Linked DNA regions of Drosophila melanogaster. The protein of the gene in region 1 interacts with the protein of each later gene in a pairwise test. Each region holds a gene or a part of one and is shown on either strand. Other genes may lie near its edges.

Region 1 (4,043 bases):
CTGTGCGACCTTTGGAGCGGTAAAAGGGCAAATGCAAGTTAGTGCTCGTTTCGTTTGGCCAACTGGTAGCCGGCAAATGCCAGGCACGACTGTGAATGGAGTTCTCCTACACCCACCTGGCCGGCATTATCGGTGCCTGGATTCTTGAGGTAGCCCTCCTCCTCGGCGTTGATGCCGTTGCCCGTCTCGTACAGATACTTGTAGGAGCCGTCGAAGTTGACCTCCTGCTCCTGTCTGATAATTGGAATGGGTTCTCCCGGCGCTTGGCCTCTCACTTGTGGTCTGGCCTGGGCCAAGCTGAGCAGCAGGGCTGCTATGAAGAGCAGCTGAAAGCACGCGGATGCGATATCAGCATGGAGTATACCCAAGTTGATCTCTTCCATCTTACTGTGTATTGCATGTCGAACCGAGCTGTATCCTGTGATCCTGGGTCCTGGTCGTCTGCTCCGAGTTCGTCTCGATCCGTTACTGTGGTCAACAGAGGCGACTCTTTGCATATTTATACCAAATCGCTTGAACTTTTGCACACAGACACTATTGCAGTTGGAGATTAAAGAGTGAACGCCTAGCATTTTGAAGACCCGCCGATCGGAAGCCTCTTTTAGGTGGCTCTTGTCGGAGGCCAATACCATCTCCCATGGAGCGCAAATGAACCGAACCGGACCGGACCGAATCGAATCGAATCCACCTACAAGTGCACGACCCATCCGATATGCTGCAATTTGTCGAATGAGTTGTCTACATGACAGCCACAGTGGGGACTCTACTTTATCATTAGAGCAAAGAAAAATATAGTTTAGTATAATATCTCACAACATTAAGTTGTTATGCTGGAAGTTATCATCAGCACAGTTGCATCTTCAATTGCTTGCTGCAATAGAAACTATCCTAGCTAGCCATCGCCCACTGTGCACCTGTATTGCGAGGGGCGTTGGAGGCACTATGATCATCTCGGATCGTGTTGAACATGACCAGCTTGACATTCATAACTCATCCTCGGCAGCGTGAGAGGAATAGGGACAGACTGCTGCATTCCTACATCAATTTGTCAGTGCAGTCATTAGACATTTGACTCAACGGCTTGATGATCATCATTGGCGGGATTATGACTGCCACCTGACCATGATCATGTCTGGCTGGCCAACTGACTTACTCACCAGCTAACTGAATGTGGCAAGTGCCGCTTGACCTTTGCGGCAGCCGAACAGATGTTTCTTGAACAGGTCCGGCCAAAAGGCGGTAATGCCTGAGCCGGGGCGTTCCGTTGCCAGTTGAGCAAATGTCAGTTACCGCCGAAGTAGAAATGGAGGTGGAGGTGGAAGTAAAGCCCCAAATGTCCCACCGCCCAATGCTACGTGAGATGGTTAACTTCGATTGCGGTATTGTGTGAGAGCAAGAGACGGCGCTTGTTTGTTTTTTGGTATTTGGTGTTTTTATTTGGCTATTCAGGTGATGAGGATCGTATCAAGTGGCAGCATCGTGGATCGGATGGGCGGCTCTATCCGGACTTCTTGTTGAACAGCAGGGACAGGAGCTGTTGCTTGATTGGCTTAGTGGTGGTGGTGTCCGTGGTGTAGGTGTAGGTGGGGTAGGTCGGGGTGGTAGTATAGGTGTACGTCGTCGTCGTGGGCGAAGAGGGCGTTGTGGGAGTGCTGGTTGTAGTTGCGGTAGATGCCATTGCGATGGCCAGGACAGCGGAGAAACAGACGAGGACAGCGAAGAACTTCATGTTGATTGGATTTTTTGGGCTTTTAGGATTGCTGGCTGGCTGTTGCTTATCGACGGACGAGCTGCTGAACTCTGAGTGTGTCTTTCGCTGGTCCAGGCCTCACTATTTATACCCATATTTTGACTGCGGCAGTCGTAGTATTCCCTGTAATGTTTGCACAAATGGTTCCTTTACCGTTTGCTACATTGCTAGCTTTCCCCCACCAATGTTTACCGACCAACTCATTGTGAAATGCATCCAATGTTTGATCCCCTTCCATTTTCCGAAAAATAAAAGTTTTTCGGGTTGGGAGTGTCAATGACTTGGTATTCTTATTAGCTAACTATCCTAGAATATATGCCGTTCGTAGCTACTGGGCCACTCCATCGAGAAGGCAAAGTCCGGAAGTGTGGCAAGGAACTCCAGGCTCAACGCATCCCGCTTATCATGTGGACTGACATAGTGTCCAGAGACGCCCATCTCAAAGACGGGTTCATTGAAGTTGCCATCGTCCTTCTAAGAATCAGTTAGTTAGTATAGTTATCAGAACGACCCATTAAATACGCACAGAAAGTTCCACGAAGAATTCGATGGGAGTGTTATCAATACCGTAGGTTAACATGACCTCCAGAGGAGGCCTGTAAGTGGCCGGATTATCCAGCATTGCGGGAGCAAACGTCCATCGGAGTAGTTTTACACCATCCAGTGGCTTGAAGAACAGACCCATATTTGGCGGACCAGTTAGCCGGAACTCATAGCGCACCTGATAGCCACCGGACAGAACTGTCTTGCTAAGGAACTCCAAGACCGTTGGATAAGGCAGTTCCACGGGCTCCTCTCGAGCAAGCCAAAGTGCATGCTCCCGGGCACTACAATATCGGTAGCAGGGAATACCGCACATCAGCTCGGAGTCGCAATCCTCGCCCAGGCGTACCAGGTTGGTCAGGTTCATGTGATCGCGCAGAGGTGCCTCTTTGTTTCGATCCCCCAGATGGAAGTAGTAGCCAGAATCCTCGTGGCTGATGGAACCATTGTACTCGAAAAATTTGCGATGCACTTGCTGCTCCGACAAAGAATAGAACTTAGTCGTCTTTCAAAGGATGCTTATTAGTGTTTCCCTTACCATGAAGTCGGCACGCATGACATTTGTTTTGGGCCGATACGGGAATCCGACATCCGAGACGGCAATCATGCAGAAAATAAACATAACCAGTGCCAGACCACCCAGCATGCAGTTCGGTCGCCGAAAGACATTGATTAAAGGAGCCTAAGTGAAACTGATTAAGTAAAGTAGTCAATAAATGTGAATAACTTTCTTACAGCAAAAGATAACGCCAAAATTGTGCCAAAACCACATAGAGCGCCGATTAGTATATCCGGATTGGTGGAGACGCCAAAGCGACCAGTCATCGGAATGAGAATAAGTATGAACATGTGGAACAAGTAGGCGTGGTAAATGAAGGGTATAATCTGGAAAACAATCAGCACCAGTGACCACAGATAACCTAAAGTGTTGGCATGAATCATTAAAAGTTCTCCACGAATATATAAGCTAACTTACCGCGACAATGGAGACGGGTCAGTAGGTTAATGATCAGAGCAGCAACGTAGAAAATGAGAGAGATCAGAAATAGATAGGCACTACGGTATTTAAGAGCCGTTGCACCCAAACACAAGATGGCCAAAAGGACACAGTTCGCGTGACCCACAATATGCAAGTAATAAGTATGGGGGATCTTGTTCTGCAGAGGATAGCTTAGTATAACAAAATAACTTCGTTAACAAGTGATACTACTTACACACTTCGTATGCGTCAAGTAGAGGGTCATGGGCAGTACAAGGCCAATAACCGATGGACAAATGTACAACCCAATGACCAGCCAACTGTTGCTAAAATAGGTCAACGTTCTATTTCCCCAATCATAAAAGGTGGCCATCAGCAGAGGAAAGGCCACGGCGAGGAGAGCACCAGCTAGGGCTAGCAGGAATAGGAGTCCAAAGACGCCGGCATAGGTGCCCATAGTCTGTCCAGTAACCCGGGACATTCGCCACAACGAGATGCAGACCAGCAAAATGGCACCGAACGAGAAGAAGAGATTCAGGGCCAAGCTAGTCGACTCCTGGTAATGGACAAAGAACAGTCCAATAAAGTCGAAGAATACTGCATGTCCCGCCGCGTGTGCCTGTTGAAAGATTACCATGAAAAATGGACAAAAGCCACTCGAAAGAGGAAACCCACCTCTGTGTCGTACATTTCTTCGGCATTCGAAATACTCCATACCAAGGCCAGTAAATTGTCGCCGGAATTCTGCAGGGAATCGAGACTTATCACCGC
Region 2 (4,633 bases), on another chromosome or scaffold:
ATGGCGGCTTGAAAAAAAAGGGCTGCTCAAGAAGAATTAGACTAAGAAATACTCAGTACATAATTGCGAGTTAAAAGCCATCATTTTGAAATTGATGTGGGTAGGGTAGAGATTTGATTGACAGTTACTTGAATTATTATTTGTAATTTAAGGATTGAGGAGATACTTTTACCTAAATTTTGAACAGCGTTACATACCTTCAGCCCTTAACATTACAGGGTAACCATTACGTTTGCTGCATCCTCCTGCGTTGACGTTATCAGAACTCTGGCAGTTACTGGCCGCAGACGCAGCGATATCGCTCCATGGCAGGAGCATTGCCTATCGCAGTGGCCAACATCGAAATCGAAACTATGGCAGATCAATTCGAATAACAATAATTTCTTCCGGTCGAATGGCAGCGCCAGAACAATCAGACAGCGGCAGAGATGCAGATATATACGACTGCGAAAGTATCTGCATCTGCAACGGCAATCGCAACTGCAACTGCATTGTTGCTGTTTGCTGCATTTTAAACAGGATGCGCATAAGTATACGAGGATTGACAGGATGTGCGGGCCATGCACACGCATTTTGTTTGCCGCTGACGCTGCCACGCCCACTCCTCCACTGTCATTTTAAATCGTGGGGCGGCATACACATGTTCAATGGGCGGCTCACGCCCCACCCAGCAGCACTAATTTGTATTGTATTCGCTGTTAATGAATTTCATATATTGTATTTATGCGAATGCACTTAATGCGAAAATTATTTGCGTTGACATTGCTGTGGATCGCAGGGGATTTTTAAACGGCTGACGATATTGAGAGACGCGCTTAAAAAAAGCTGGCGATAAAGTGATATTAGATGTTATGATATTAAAACCAGATAATTAAAGTTGTTTTTTTTTCTATGCCTATTTATATTAACGATTTATTTAAATAACCTTTATGTTTTGGTTATGACATTCTTTGTAACCGAAGTATCCGGATCAATGAGTTTTGCTCCATTCCTCACGCTCTTCGCGCTCCTTTTGCACTTCGTTAAGATAGGGCTCCAAGTACTTGATGTCCTCCTCGTACTTGGTCCACTGCTCCTTGGGCAGGATCGTCTTGGTCATGGAAAGGTGCAGTGCTCGAAGAATGCGATAGTTGCGTTCATCGTACAGTTTGCGGGGCAGACGACGCACTGCTTCTGCCACATCCTCATTCTCGTACAGACAGTCATCGCGATACAGGCCGTATTGGTTGAATCCAGACATGTTGTAGGCCCACTTTCCCAACTTGGAGAAAACCGCTGGGCCCACTCTAGCCACATATTTCGACATGATTTAAGATCAAGAATAATTTGGATATGACTACTACAACTATTACCAGTAAGTCCACAAGCTGACAGGTGACTCAGGGCTACACTGGTGAACTAACAAGTATGAGTTTTTAAAATAATAATAAAATAAAATAAAAATTCCCCAACAGGCCTTTCGAAACAAAAATCCCGAATCTCAACTTTCGTTATCTGAAAAATACATAGCATATTAAATGCAATGAAACAACGAAATTTCCGAAACAAATGCCCGAAGAAAAAATGTGGTTTAAATATTGTATCAATGCACTTCTTTAATTTACAAAACTTGCAAAGTTAATTTGGACTGTCATATAATTGAGCGCGGATGTGGACTTCCATAACGCGGAGTTGTCACAAAATGTTTTTGGCAGACGTCAAGTAGATCTTTCCAGCTGTTTTACAGATCAGCATGGTCCGCAAGGACCGAAGCCACAAGGGCCAGGTCCGCAGGGTCCACACGGTCCGCATGGACCACAGCCTGGTCCGAAGGGTCCGCAGGGTCCACAGGGTCCGCAAGGACCGCATCCTGGTCCCCAAGGTCCGCAGGGTCCGCAAGGTCCGCATCCGGGTCCACAGGGTCCACATGGTCCGCATCTGCCCTCAGCCACTGGGTATTGGTTTGTGGAGAAGCAGGGCAGCGGACAGCAGGGTCCTCCAGGAGCACATGGTCCAATGGGGCAGGGTGGGCACGCTGCACTGGGCTTGTAGTTGATGGGTCCATTTGGATAGCAGCAGTACTCCCTCGGCGGCGGAATGTCGATGGTTTGGGGCTTCGGCTGGCAGAGGATCGACTGACACACCTCACGTGGTTCGCAGACGCGCTTGGGATAGCACACCACATAGGGGTCGGGGATCATCGAGGGGTAGTAGATTACTCTGGGTTCTCGCACCATCTGCGACACCCAAATCAGCTTGGGCACCTTGATCACCCGCGTGGCATCAACGACCTTTGGAATGGTGATCTGCCTGCATCGGTTAACCACCATTGGCTCCGGCACAATCTTCTCCGTGAACACAACGCGTTTCTTGCAGATCATGCGTGGTGGTTGCTGCACGGTGATGCATTTGGGGAAGGGTGGTGGAATACGTGGAGCACATTGTGGCAAGGCCTCCAATTGGGCGGCATTGTAGCACTTGGGTGAGCACTCGAAGGGACCGCAGCAGGGATCGCATGGACTACAAGGACCGCACGGAGAGCACATTTTAAGTTTCGACTAGAATAAACCGAAAGAGTAAAAAGTTAATTTTTGTTTTTTGTTTCTTATAAAATTTGATCAGAGAAATTTAGAAGTGTATCGAAGCGAAACCGGATTCAAAATGCGAGCTAAGCCTGAGTAACGAACATAGGTAGATTGACAAGCAGAGGCAAGGCCTACTATTTGACAAAAATTTGGTAGAAAATTTTATCTGGATAGAAACCATTGCATAACCTGTCAAAAGAAATTGAAAAAACCTTATATATGCATAAATCCGATTTTTATTTACAGCCAATGAGTCGTCCATGCGTTGACAAAGTATAGAGAACTGTAGACTTTTTTGGTGGTGTTTGAGCAGAACGGCGAGAATACACTATGGCAATCTGTATTGGTGATAGACAAGTTGGTCCACTGGGCACCGGTTTCTGACAACAATCCAGGCAGCACAACGATGATGTTAACAGGGGCCGCTGGGTCCACAAGGCACTTGAGGACCGCAAGGACCAACTGGGCCGCAGTGGGTATTCCAGGGAGTTGGGGCGCACGGGTAGCAGGGGCCGCACTCGGGTGACTCGTACGGACACGGGGGCGAACAGGGTCCGCAGGGTCCGCAAGGACCGCAAGGACTATTGCCGAGCGGTCCACATGGCCCGCATGGAGCACAGGGTCCACACGGAGCCGGGACAAACGGACCCGACGGCATTGTGAGGCCGCAGGGCCCGCAATTGGGCACGGCGCACGGTCCACCCGGACCGCATCTCGGCCCACAGGGTCCGCACGGGCCGGGTCCGCAGGGACCACATCGCGGACCGCAGGGTCCGCATCCTGGACCGCAAGGTCCACAGGGTCCGCACCTACCCTCGGCAACGGGATACTGGTTTGTGGAGAAGCAGGGCAGCGGACAGCAGGGTCCTCCAGGAGCACATGGTCCAATGGGGCAGGGTGGGCACGCTGCACTGGGCTTGTAGTTGATGGGTCCATTTGGATAGCAGCAGTACTCCCTTGGCGGCGGAATGTCGATGGTCTGTGGCTTCGGCTGGCACAGGATCGACTGACACACCTCCCGGGGTTCGCAGACGCGCTTGGGATAGCACACCACATAGGGATCGGGGATCATCGAGGGGTAGTAGATTACTCTGGGTTCTCGCACCATCTGCGACACCCAAATCAGCTTGGGCACCTTGATCACCCGCGTGGCATCAACGACCTTTGGAATGGTAATCTGTCTGCATCGGTTAACCACCATTGGCTCCGGCACAATCTTCTCCGTGAACACCACGCGTTTCTTGCAGATCATGCGTGGTGGTTGCTGCACGGTGATGCATTTGGGGAAGGGAGGTGGAATACGTGGAGCACATTGTGGCAAGGCCTCCAATTGGGCGGCATTATAGCACTTGGGTGAGCACTCGAAGGGACCGCAGCAGGGATCGCATGGACTACAAGGACCGCACGGAGAGCACATGTTTTCGACTTAAGTTTTCCAAAATAAAATTTCTAGAAAAATATTATACTTTATTTTTGTTACAAATTTTTACTGTTCAATTTGGAAGTTATTCGGAGCGAAACAGGAAACTGAATGAGATATAACAGTAGGACGACAGCATTGCACAATAATCCAGGCCCACTTCGATCGAAATTTGAAAAACCGAGCTCTACGATCACACCCTAGTGTAGTGTTTTTGTTGTGCAGGTAAGGTGAAAATCGCTTTGAGCTTTGAATGGAAATATATGCTTACAATACATAAATCTGGTGGATTCGATTGCTTAACCGATTGCAATGAAAAATCACAGAACGCTGCTTGAATGGAATGCATTTTGCAAACCGGATTCCATCTTCACATGACGTATGCGCGACGTATCTGCATATATTTCAACAATATGGCATCTGCCGTTGAGTGGGTTTAAGCCTTTAATATGCTAGCGCCTTTATGTAGGCAGGCCGCTTTTTTCGGACCGGCCGAAAGCCAACTTGGAAAAAACCTACAACGAATTACAGAAAAACGTCGGAAAACACTCTGGCAGCGCCCGGCCTATTGAATATACATATATGGGTTTGTTTTTGCCCCAGTGCCTGGACATGTCAGCGCCGAAAAAAAAGCGTTTTGGTCGGTATG
Region 3 (4,979 bases), on another chromosome or scaffold:
GAACTGTAGGATGTTTCATATTAATTATATAGATATATATATATGTATATATATCGTTTGGATACACCAACCTGTAGGTACAGTCCAGGACCTTGAACAAGAAAAAAAATCTTTACTTGATACCGTTCCGGTGTTGTGCTCCACCGAACACAATATCTATATTACTTCGTCCGTTGAGGGCTTCCCACTGCCAACTCATGAAGTACTTCTTGAATTTTTTCGGCCCTTGTGGATTAAATCTAGCCGATTTAGCTTAGGATCAGCGGCCTCGACTTGACAATTTGTATGTTTCACTCGCAGACCACGCGCGTTTCAATTTGCACAGTTTTGGAAATGGAATTACAAGCATATATTAGATCAACGAATGTAGATGCGTATCGGAGGAGGACGAGTCCATATGGCGGCGGATGTTGGCCTGGTATCTCCCGGCACTCCGGCGTTCACGCTTCCGTTACGATTTTACAAAATAAAAGATTCGGAATCGAATAGAAAAAACGAGTGTACGTTCCTGGCTTGGAATCAGAAGGTCGTGTGTGATGTAGAAAAGTTCCGGACAACAACTGGCATTGTCGACAGTTCGTCTGGGGCAACAGTCACAAATCGCCTCGACTACTTGATTGCCCGGGTAGCCGGATTCGTTCAGACTCGCTTGAAATTTCGACTTCACTTGTGTGACCTGTGTGTCCTGACATCCCTTTTGGTGTCTTGCACCCAACTACAGCATGCCCACTCTACTCCATAGTTTTCCATCGTTTTCAAAGTCCTGCCGTTTCCAATGGTTGCCCCCCGCTCTTCATTTACCCGGAACCATTGTTTTGGATATTTACACCCGGACTCGGTGGCCTATTCCTATATGATCTTCAAAATATGTTGAGCGTAGAGTATTCCTTTTTTCATGACTTTGTTTAATGCATTAATATTAACCTATCTGAATGTATTACTTTATCTTTACCTTTAGTTAAAAAAAAAGCCAACAATGAAACCTAACAATGAACAGAAAACAAATCGTATATAGAAATTATAAATAACTTGAATCAAGCTAATAACCTAATAAAACTAAGGTGTGTGCTGATGTAATCCATGTGAATGATATCCACGGTAGAGCTAACCCAATGTATCCAACCCCTTTACGTGCAGGTTGCTATCAATAAATGCATATTTGATGCTTAGTTTTCAATAACAAACATGGGCGTACCGCCGATCCCGGCGCGTAGCAACCTACTTCTGGCCGGGAAGCGGACACAACAGCTGGCGAGCGTGTTATGCGGTTGCCAGGAGAAAGGCGCCACTAGAAACTTTGCGTCGGGTAAGTCCAAAGATTACTGGATTGTCGTAGAAAAATATTTCTTGGACATCAGTTTATTGTTATTTCTTGCTATGATTAGGGGATTACAAATCTATGGATTTTCCGGTTTATGCTGTTGTTGCTGCAACAGCTGTCGCTGCTGCTGCAACAGCTGCATTTGCAGTTGCAGTTGCTGAACATGATGTGGCTTCAAGTGCAGTTGCTGCAGCAACTGTTGTTGCTCCTGCTCCTGCTGTTGTTGCAACTCCTGCTGTTGTTGTAACTCCTGCTGTTGTTGCTGCTGCTGCGGTTGTTGCTGCAACATTAGCTTTTGCTTCTCTTGGTACTGTTTCTGCTGAGTCTGTATCTGTTGCCTCTGCTTCTCGAACTCCTCCAGTTGCTCCTGCTGTTTGAGCACCAGCTCGTCCATGTTGAGCTCTAGATGCTTGCGTGTTTCCTCGGCGGCGCGGCTAGGCGTAATATTCCACTCTTGCATTTGTTGCGGCAGAATCTGAGAGTGTAAAGGACTTTGGTGTTTAATTGGAGTCTTATAGTCTGGCCAAAAAATGAAACTAACCTGAAATAGGCGTTCGATGGCTAGATTAGAGCCACACTCATCGCTGCAGTACTTGCTCTGCGGCCTCGCATGGGAGCAGCAATTGGGTCCGTGGCACTGCTGGATGCCCTGTAGCTCCGGATTGAGGAATATCTCCGGACTGACCGCCCGCGGGCTCACCTGGACATTGGAAGTCTTGGGTGCCGCCTTATCCCGCTTCGTACCTGCTTGAGTCGGCTGCGACTCCTTTGGTTCTTGGGCGCTGCTGTTTTTGCGCTTCGCTGCCGCAGTGGTCGGTGGCGGCGCTTGCTGGCTGGTTGTTGCGGGCGCCACCGGTGCAGCAGCAGGCGCAGCTCCCGATGGACCTACGCCCGGGGCATTGAGACTTGTAGAGGCGGCGTTCGATGCGGCTGCACGTTCGGTGGCCACCAGGCGGAATATAGTCTGCAGTTCGGGATTCTCTTTTTTGCAGCGCCGGCAGTAGTAATTTTTGATGTGCTCAGCGTCCTTCTCGGTGATCTCTATACAGTCGCCGTGGTACCACTCCTCGCAACCATCGCAGCCTCTGGAAAGCGTAGTTGACAAGTGGTTAGGCGGGATCTAGCCCTTTAAGGCCATTCAACTCACATCATGAACCTGGAGCAGTCGGAGGAGCGGCATATGCAGTACTCACGGTCTTTCTGCTTAAGAATGGTGGCTATCTTGGACTTGCGCTCAGGCAAATCAAATTCCCGTGCGATCTCCCGCCTGATTTCTTCTTCCTGTTTGGAAATCTCCTTTGTAGCTAAAAATATGATTGCTGTGCAGCGTGTGAAACTCACGGTCTTCTTATCATTGTCCGTCATCTCGCACCAATCTTTCTGACAACTAAAGTCCAATTCCAAATCCGTCAATTAAGTTTCAGGGAATTTTTCTTTTTGCGATGGAGATTGTAAATGAACTGTATTCCTGGCTTTGAATCAGCAGGTCGTGTGTGATGTAGAAAAGTTCCGGACAACGACTGGCATTTTTGACAGTTCGTCTGGGGGAACAGTCACAAATCGCCACGACTACTTGATTGCCCGGGTAGCCGGATTCGTTCAGACTCGCTTGAAATTTCCACTGCACTTGTGCGTCCTGACATTCCTTTTGGCTCCCAACTACAGCATGCCCACTCTAATCCATAGCCTCCATCGTTTTCAAGGTCCTGCCGTTTCCAATGGTTGCCCCCCGCTCTTCATTTACCCGGAACCATTGTTTCGGATATCAAAACCCGGACTCGGTGGCCTATGTCTATATGATCTTCAAAATATGTTGAGCGTAGAGTATTCTTTTTTTCATGACTTTGTTTAATGCAGTAATATTAACCTGCATTATTAAAAAAAGCCTACAGCTTAAGAAAATGTATTTAATATGCTAACTTATTTTCTAGATTATTTCTAAATACAAACTAACAATGAACAGAAAACAAATCGTATATAGAAATTATAAATAACTTGAATCCAGCTAATAAACTAATATTAAGGTGTGTGCTAATGTAATCCATGTGAATGATATCCACGGTTGAGCTGGCCTAATGTATTAATAGCATGTTGCTATCAATAAATGCATATTTGATGCTTAGTTTTCAATAACAAACATGGGCGTACCGCCGATCCCGGCGCGTAGCAACCTACTACTGGCCGGGAAGCGGACCCAACAGCTGGCGAGCGTGTTATGCGGTTGCCAGGAGAAAGGCGACACTAGAAACTTTGCGTCGGGTAAGTCCAAAGATTACTGTCGTAGAAAAATATTTCTTGGACGTCAGTTTATTGTTAGTTCTTGCTATGATTAGGGGACTACAAATCTATGTTTTTTTCTGCAGGTATATAATTTGAGTTTTCTGTGGTATTTGGGCCTTCTTTTGCTGCTGCTGCAACAGTTGAAGTTGAAGTTGCTGCAGATGATGTGGCTTCAATTGCAGTTGCTGTTGCTCCTGCTGTTGTTGCTGCTGCTGTTGTTGCTGCTGCTGTGGTTGTTGCAGCTGCTGCTGTTGTTGCTGCTGTTGTTGTTGCTGCTGCTGTTGTTGCTGTTGCTGTTGTTGCTGCAACATTAGCTTCTGCTTTTCCTGGTACTGTTTCTGCTGTGTTTGTATTTGTTGCTGGTGAGCCAGGCGTCGCCTCTGCTTCTCGAACTCTACCAGATGCTCCTGCTGTTTGCGCACCAGCTCGTCCATCACCTCGTGGTTGTAGGTGGAGTGCAGCATCAGGCCGAGCAGGTTCGCTCGCGAGGTGAGCTGCTGCCGCATCACGCGCTCCTGCTCCATCAGGTCGTCCATCTTGAGCCATTGACGCACACGCTCCAGATCTATCTCAGCACGCCGGATCTTCTCCCAGGCGTAGTGCTTGAAGCAATTCTTCTTTGGCGCACGACAAAACTCGCCCGTGGGATTGAAGACGTTGTTCACTAAGGGCGAACCACACACATCCGTATCGTTCACCTTCGGATCCTTGCTGTGCTCCGGACACAATACTCTCAATCGCTTACAGTAAGTCTTACTTGCCGGATTGTAGAAATCACAAAACATATTGTTTCCCTCCATTCGCGTTTTGAATATGCTCCCGAAGCTGGCCTGCGATTCGTATTTGTTGAAGCACTTCTCCATATGCTTGATGGCAGTGCGCGAGTGAATCTCGTGGCCACAGGTGATGCAGTACATGCTCTGTTCGTCCTCCATGTCGGCGGTGTCTTGTGACCCCAATGTATCAATGGAGCTTCGTTTGGCTCGCTCCACCACCATGTTGAGCTCTTCGGAGCGCTTCTCTAGCTCGGCAAGTGCGAAACGCACCAGGGACTGCTTATGACGAATGTTATCAAGATGCTTGCGTGTTTCCTCGGCGGCGCGGCTGGGCGTTAGATTCCACTCTTGCAGTCGTTGCGGCAGAACCTGAGAGTGTAAAGGACTTTGGTGTTTAATTGTCATAGTCTGGCCAAAAAATGAAACTAACCTGGAAGATGCGTTTTGTGGCCAGATTGAAGCCACACTTATCGCTGCAGTACTTGCTCTGCGGTCTCGCATGGGAGCAGCAATTGGGTCCGTAGCACTGCCGGATGCCTTGTAGCTCCGGATTGAGGAATATCTCCGGACTGGCCGCCCGCGGGCCCACTTGGACATTGCGA
Region 4 (6,648 bases), on another chromosome or scaffold:
AAATGTGTCTACCCTTCCAATTTTTGTCTAGTTTCCATCAAACTCCATTTTTGCCACCAAAGTTGGACATCAAATAATGTAAGTTGATACTGCCAAGGCAGGTTGATGTTGTGGCTTGCTGCTGTTGTCCCTTTTGAGTTCTCGCAAATTGCTTTAGTTTTACCTGAGTTTTATCTTAATTATGCTTATCTTAATAAAAGCATTTTAAGTTTTGAAACGCTTTTCTCGTTAATACTGGAAACACAAGGCTAACAACTTTTTATTTATTTTCTAGGCCAGTATACGATATTTTCCAAGCCACAAATTGCGACCACAACACCGCAGACACAGGTGTCGCCTGGTATGCCTTTGATGTTTCCCGGCGGAAGTCCCAATTTTGTGCAGGATATCAAGATGGAGAATGGATTCATGGATGTGGATAGCCAGAGTAGCCAGTGTCCATCAGTGGAACGCAATTTCGCTTCGCCTCGATCCAACTGCAGTACAGTGGATAGTATTCCGCCGATGCAAATGGGGCAAAATCAAACTCATCTTTATTTGCCAGATGCCACAAACTTCACATTTAATGGGAATTTCGCATCGCCTTCGTCCAATTGCAGTACAGTGGATAGCATTCCGCCGTTTCAAATCGGACAGAGGAATAACCATATGTATCTGCCGGAGAATTCAAACTTTCCGGTAAACGGCTGTAGTCCTACCCATTTCAGTGGTGGCTCTATGACACCAATCAATAATAACAACAATGTACTAATTAATAACAATAACAATGACTTTTTAAGTCAGAAAATGAGTGCCATAAGCATACCGCCACAAGGAAATTTTGGCATTAAACAGGTATATCAACAGACTCAGCAGTTCCTGCCGCAATTGCAGCCAGAGTCCATTCCATATCTGGCCCAATCCCATCCAGAACAGTCGCAGTACCAACAGCAACAGCAGCCACAGGAGCAGCAACCTCCAGCAGATGAACCCACCCAATCGTTTAGTGATCTAATTTCCAGCAGCATAGGCATGGCGCCCATTGACACCAGCGAACTTATCCAGGACATTGAGGCAGAACTCAATAGCTTGGGAATTCAGCCATTCAAATGAACAACAAACTTTGCTAAATACTAGTGTACATATATTTCATAAAATATATCGGAAATTAACCAATTAGAGCTACATGTAAAAAGGTCTCAATCCAAAATGAACTTCAACACAAAACCTGTCTTATATAATTCTATTTTACCGCAATGTACATAAATTTAATGAGGGAAATGCGAATCTCATTGCCCGATGCCTTGTTACGACTTTTCGTTATTGACAAAAGTGAATTGAAAATGATTATTGTTTAAATAAAATATAACTTTAGAATTTACATGATGTATGTATGTATGTTTCGCTTTCATGGGGGAATGTGGGTAATACTAGAGTAATATAGAGTGCTAACTGTTTAGCGACAGAAATAGGGCTGACCCAGGTTGGCATTGTTCTCATTGCGCATGCCGGCAAAGAACCGATTGATATCCTCCTCGGTCACTACCTTCTTGCTGGCGGCGAATGCCTGCAGGTATTCCTTTAGCTTGTCCTTCATGCGATTGTATTCGGTAATCGCATCGATTTGCTGTGTCCGGTCAATGGAGGCCAGTGCCCGGATTCCTTGCTCATAACTGGAATTCTCTTCAGCCCGCTTCATGCCGCGCTCCTCGTACGTCTTAGCCGAATCCTCGACATCCAGCAGAAACTCCACGGCAAGTTCCTTGTAAAGCGACAGGCATTCGGAGCACTGACAGAGTGATTTTCGCCAGTCATTTGTCCAGAAAGCAGCTCCTTGAAAGAGAAAGGGTAGAGATGAATAAATGGGGGAAATTGGCAGTTCAAAGAGTTTGTGCTGATTTATGCATGCCATGTAATTAAAAATCCATTCCGCTAACATATTTTTTTTTACGGTTCTGAGTTTTCTTTCAAATACTCTCAGCACTTAAATCCATATTTTATTTCAACACTTCACATATAAATTGCTAAGATACTTTCGTCATGAATTTGGAGTTCTTCACCGAGGGCCTCGACTGCCTAATGTACTGCGGCATGAAGCTGTCGCCGGAGCAGCGCATCTTGATTGAAAACTCGCTGATCGCTTTACAAAATGACAATCGTTTTACGGGCATGTATCTTTGGGGTCGCATTACGGCCACCAAGAACGATTACTACATTGCCTTTGGCTACACTAATGACTGTCTCAAGGATCGCAAGTATTTCTACAGTCTGGACCAGTTCCAATGGCAGTTGCTGCCGTTCGTACAGAGCCCCAAGATATTTCAGGCGACTATATTGGCAAGGGAGCCATTTATAGGAGATCCCAGCCTGATGACCTACGTTAAGCTGGTGAGTTGATAGTACGTAAATGTGGTGGTGGTTTTTCTGATATTGTACGCACACAGGACCCCACTTTTGACATCGTAGGCAATCAGGTGGCTGGTATCAGCCGCCCTGAAGTGGTCAAGCTTAAGGAGGAGGAACGGCTGGCAGCCATTGTGTTTATTATAACAGAGGAGTGTGCCATTTGCCCACGCGGAGCCTTTTACAAGATGACCGATGGTCGTGTTATACCCAACCAGATGTTTCGTGGACTGAATGACTTGCAGATCGACAACCAATCATATTACCAGCTCTATCGCCTGCCCCGCAATGATCTCAAAGTCAATTTGGCCAAGAGGAGCGACTATAACTATGCTATTGACTTTCTGGACACCATTGACTGCGTAATACCACTGTGTCAGGCTTTTGCCCTGAATATGCAACGGAACGAGGGTTTGGTAATAATCAAGTCGTGCCTTTGGTTGGGCATGACATTCTTTCACAAAATCAACTCCCACAAGCATGGTTTCCTTTACTTGGGCGATGGCAAGAAGAACTTTGACTTGCTTTTCATGTATTAAGGTTGCTTTTGCATAAATATGTTTTTTTTTTGAGCATACGCATGTATATCTATATTAATTTACTCACCCTGATGCTCCTTGGTTGGTTTGGGCCGACGACAATCGTCCAGTTTGGCGCGCTTCTGGCTGGGTTCGCCTTCGTCTGGCTGAGATTCACCTTCAGGAACTTTCATGATATCGCAGATGCTGCGGTCCAACTCGTTCTTCAGCTGGCTATCGTCAGCCTCCGGCTTGTCCTCCTTCGCATCTTCTAGCACAGGCTGCAGGGCTAATCCAGTGTAGTCCTTTAGGAAGGGTTTGGCATCCATGCAGCCATCGCAAATCATTTCGCTGCAGACATCCAGCCACTTGTCGCTGGCGCCGGGCGCTTTCATGTGCGGCAAGTGGAACCAGTCCTCGCAGATGGCGCACTGCAGCATAACCTCCTCAACGGTGCGATCGGGATCGGGATAGGGTCGCTTGCACTTGCAGTACAGCCCCTGGAAGTTCTGGTTATACAGATTGCCCACGTTACGTGGTTGAACGCCCTCGACTTGTGGGTTCAGGGAGCACTTGCCCAGACGCTGGGTGGGACAATCGCAGCGGAAATTCCGCTTAGTATAGAGCTCCACCAGTTCGTGGTGCTCGTGACAGCGATAGGAGCAGGCCAAGCAGACTCCTGCGGCCTTGTCCAGATCCTCGCGCGCCTCGGGGCAACAAGTGAGGCACGAGTACAGAGCCTGTCGGCCGATGGGGCCCTTGGCGTAAGTGCACGACTTCTCATCGGAGGCGCCCAGCACTGCGGCGTACTCGTCCTCCAGCTCCTTTTCCTGTTCCAGGACATCTAGCATCGTAATGGTCGACTGCTCCAGCGGATTGGACTCCTCAACCTCGTGGACACCATCTGTGGCATTCGACTCGCTCATGTCAGCTGTTTAATAATGTATTTTTAGCTTGGCTTCGTGTCAGTTTCTCGAAAGTGGCGGAATGCGCAGCGTTTGGCGCGATTGGATAAAAATTTGCAAATAATTCAACCACCGAAACCTAGGGATGGCCCACAACAGCTTGTCTATGCGATAGGTATCGGCTGCCAGTGTTGGTTGCAAGAAGTGATTAAGCTATTTATTTAATGACCAAAAAACATAAGCAAATTAAATTATTTTCAAATTCAAAGTACAAGTTTTATTTTATTTAATAGATGCTCACATTAAAAATGATTTATAAAATACTAAAATAAATTAGCTAGGCGTTCTAGCTACTTTTTGCTAGATATAGCTACTTTAGCTTGTGTTGCACTTGGGCGTTAGTCAACACTGTACCGGAGAATTTTGCTGAGCGTGCTGCTGATTTTAATAAACAATTTATAAGTTTTGCAGTAACTAACGAAAAGTAAGACATCAAAATGAACGCACCACCTACCTTTGAGTCATTTCTGCTCTATGAAGGCGAGAAAAAGTGAGTAAAGAAAACAGACTACTCCGAATGACCACCTTTAACCCGTTTTTATGTTTGTTATGGCGCGGCTGCAGAATCATCAAGGAACTGGACACCAAAGTGACCAATGCGGCTATATTCACCATAAACAAAGAGGATCACACGCTGGGCAACATGATCCGCAAGTATGTTGGCCAACAAGCCCGTCTGATTACACATTAAATTTGCATTCTTGCCTGCAGCCAACTGCTGAAGGATCCCAATGTTCTGTTTGCCGGCTACAAGGTTCCGCATCCTCTGGAGCACAAGTTCGTCATCCGCATCCAGACTACGGCCGATTATTCTCCGCAGGAAGCATTCATGAACGCCATAACCGATCTTCTAGCAGAATTATCTCTCTTCGAAGAGCGTTTCAAAGTATTACCTGCACAAAACGTCCTCGAAACATTTCTTTAATATCCATGTTTCTCTGATTTCAGGACGCCATCAAGGAGAAGAAGGAGGGCGGCGATTAATCATATAATTACCAATTAATTCCTTAGTCTTATGAAAACCCAATAAAAGCTTCTTCTTCCACGTTCTTGATTTTATTTTTTACACTATGTTTACACTCAAAAATTACGAAAACAACCGATTGTGTGTTTGCCACGAATCGCATTCAATAAATAAAAACAATTTAAAATAGACTACTATCCATGGATGTGTGCATAACGCAAGATCACAATTTTAAGTAGAGAAATTTCTTTGTGTGATTGAGTGAAGCTCTGCTGAGGTAAAAGTATCTCATCTGATAGATCTCGCAATATGGTTATGCTATAGAGTCTAAAACAAAGTAAAATGGAAATAATAGAATTTAACTAGAGCTAACTAATAGGTTTCATCATCGGCACATTCGCTCGTATCGTGGCCAAAAACTGTAATTGGGAAAAACATTGTTAAATGTCAGTAAAATTTGATATTTTATTTTACTCACCCTCGCAGGAATCACAGTATTTCCTGGGTGCCGGCAGCTTCCGCTCCTTCTCGTTGTTGTTGGACTCGGATGACGGTGTGGAGTAGTCTTGATCTTCGCTTCCCTGGATTGGACAATCCTCCGTATCGTGCTGATCAAACTCATCGCAGATGTCGCAGAAAAGTCTGGGAGCCGGTTTCCGCTTTGTCAGGGCATCGAAGGCATGAGGTCTTAAATATATTATATACATTTATGAACGAAAATGCTTCGACCGAGATGAAAAAGAATTTAACTCACTTGGTGAAATCCATTGGCAAGGTTTCAAGGGTCTGCACCTTTGCCTTGAGTGCATCATTCTTCTGCTGCATGTCAGCAATAATTGAGTTCAGGAAGTTAATCTTGGCAAGACTGGTTTCGATGTCCAGTGACTGGAAATTGACAAGGCCCATTGTTTGCAAAATATATAAAATATTAGCTTAAAAAAAAGAAACCCACCTCCACTTCATCACCCTTTCCGGACCTACTGCTCGCACCATTCATCTGAGCCTTTAGGCTCAGAACCTCCCTCGACTTCTCCAGTTCCAGCGATTCCAGCTGGCGCCTCAGTTCCTTAGTCTCCAGATAAGCAGTCTTTTGGGCATCGTTGGCTTGACGGAGTGCGGTCTCCAGTTCCGCAACTCTATTTTGTAGCTGTTCCAGCAGCGCGGATTTAACGGAAGCCGCATCATCCATCTCATCAATGACTTTCTGATATTCTGCCAGCTGGGTGTCGAATTCATTACCCTTTTCCAAAAGTAACTGCTTTTGCTGAAGGGATTTCTGGAGCTCTTCATTAGCCTGCTTTAATTGGCTCAGTTGCTCCGCCAACTTGGATGTTTCCTCTTGAAGAGTCCTCTCCTTTTGCTGGGCCTGTTCTAACTTATCCTGAATTTCGTTGTGGCTCTTCTTTTGACTTTCTAATACAGTATTACTTTCATCAAGTTTGCCCTGAAGTTCTTTAAGGCCATTCTCTTTTTGACACAGAGCCTCCTTAAGCTCCCCATTTGCTTGCTCCAGTTGTTGTAGTTTCTCAGTGACTGCCAAAGATTCTCCTTGCAGATTTCCCTCGTTTTCTTGAGATTTAACCAGCAACTCCTGGAGTTCCTTATTTGTGGCTTGTTGGGCATCCAACTGGGAGGTGGCTGCTTGGAGTTTTTCCTCCAACACCTTTACTAGTTCCTCTACTTTTACTAGGGAATCCTTTATGTCTCCATTGGCCTCTTGCACTTGCTGCAGCTCACCGGAAAGTTTGGCAGCCTCTTCCTGCAATTGTTTCTCCTTCTTCTGTGACTCTAGCAATTGATCTTGGGTTTCCTTTAAACA

Evidence for each region.
Region 2: the proteins of CG13159 (region 1) and Mst98Cb interact in a two-hybrid assay, tested with the Drosophila melanogaster proteins (one large-scale study listed by BioGRID).
Region 3: the proteins of CG13159 (region 1) and CG17440 interact in a two-hybrid assay, tested with the Drosophila melanogaster proteins (one large-scale study listed by BioGRID).
Region 4: the proteins of CG13159 (region 1) and CG15141 interact in a two-hybrid assay, tested with the Drosophila melanogaster proteins (one large-scale study listed by BioGRID).

What each region holds. Positions count from the first base shown.
Region 1 is NT_033778.4:12,373,055-12,377,097, reverse strand, and holds CG13159 (uncharacterized protein), read right to left. Parts: upstream 1,813-4,043; 5' UTR 1,730-1,812; coding exon 1,499-1,729; 3' UTR 1,420-1,498; downstream 1-1,419. Other genes in the region: Cpr49Aa (cuticular protein 49Aa), read right to left, coding at 1-9, 117-326, 389-400; CG13160 (uncharacterized protein), read right to left, coding at 2,057-2,224, 2,277-2,768, 2,832-2,975, 3,029-3,213, 3,270-3,450, 3,508-3,891, 3,948-4,043.
Region 2 is NT_033777.3:28,290,807-28,295,439, reverse strand, and holds Mst98Cb (Male-specific RNA 98Cb), read right to left. Parts: upstream 2,643-4,633; 5' UTR 2,526-2,642; coding exon 1,728-2,525; 3' UTR 1,577-1,727; downstream 1-1,576. Other genes in the region: UQCR-14L (Ubiquinol-cytochrome c reductase 14 kDa subunit-like), read right to left, coding at 971-1,306; Mst98Ca (Male-specific RNA 98Ca), read right to left, coding at 2,977-3,981.
Region 3 is NC_004354.4:9,267,109-9,272,087, forward strand, and holds CG17440 (uncharacterized protein), read right to left. Parts: upstream 2,818-4,979; 5' UTR 2,687-2,817; coding exon 2,663-2,686; intron 2,603-2,662; coding exon 2,469-2,602; intron 2,407-2,468; coding exon 1,863-2,406; intron 1,797-1,862; coding exon 1,398-1,796; 3' UTR 1,330-1,397; downstream 1-1,329. Other genes in the region: Cfp1 (CXXC finger protein 1), read right to left, coding at 3,667-4,746, 4,808-4,979.
Region 4 is NT_033779.5:17,407,959-17,414,606, reverse strand, and holds CG15141 (uncharacterized protein), read right to left. Parts: upstream 3,967-6,648; 5' UTR 3,827-3,966; coding exon 2,989-3,826; intron 2,959-2,988; exon of another isoform or gene 2,922-2,958; coding exon of another isoform or gene 2,424-2,921; intron 2,368-2,423; coding exon of another isoform or gene 2,020-2,367; exon of another isoform or gene 1,974-2,019; intron 1,813-1,973; coding exon 1,436-1,812; 3' UTR 1,108-1,435; downstream 1-1,107. Other genes in the region: Rsph9 (radial spoke head protein 9), read left to right, coding at 2,020-2,367, 2,424-2,921; Polr2J (RNA polymerase II subunit J), read left to right, coding at 4,303-4,355, 4,430-4,519, 4,577-4,751, 4,814-4,849; CLIP-190 (cytoplasmic linker protein 190), read right to left, coding at 5,202-5,248, 5,308-5,516, 5,584-5,714, 5,782-6,648.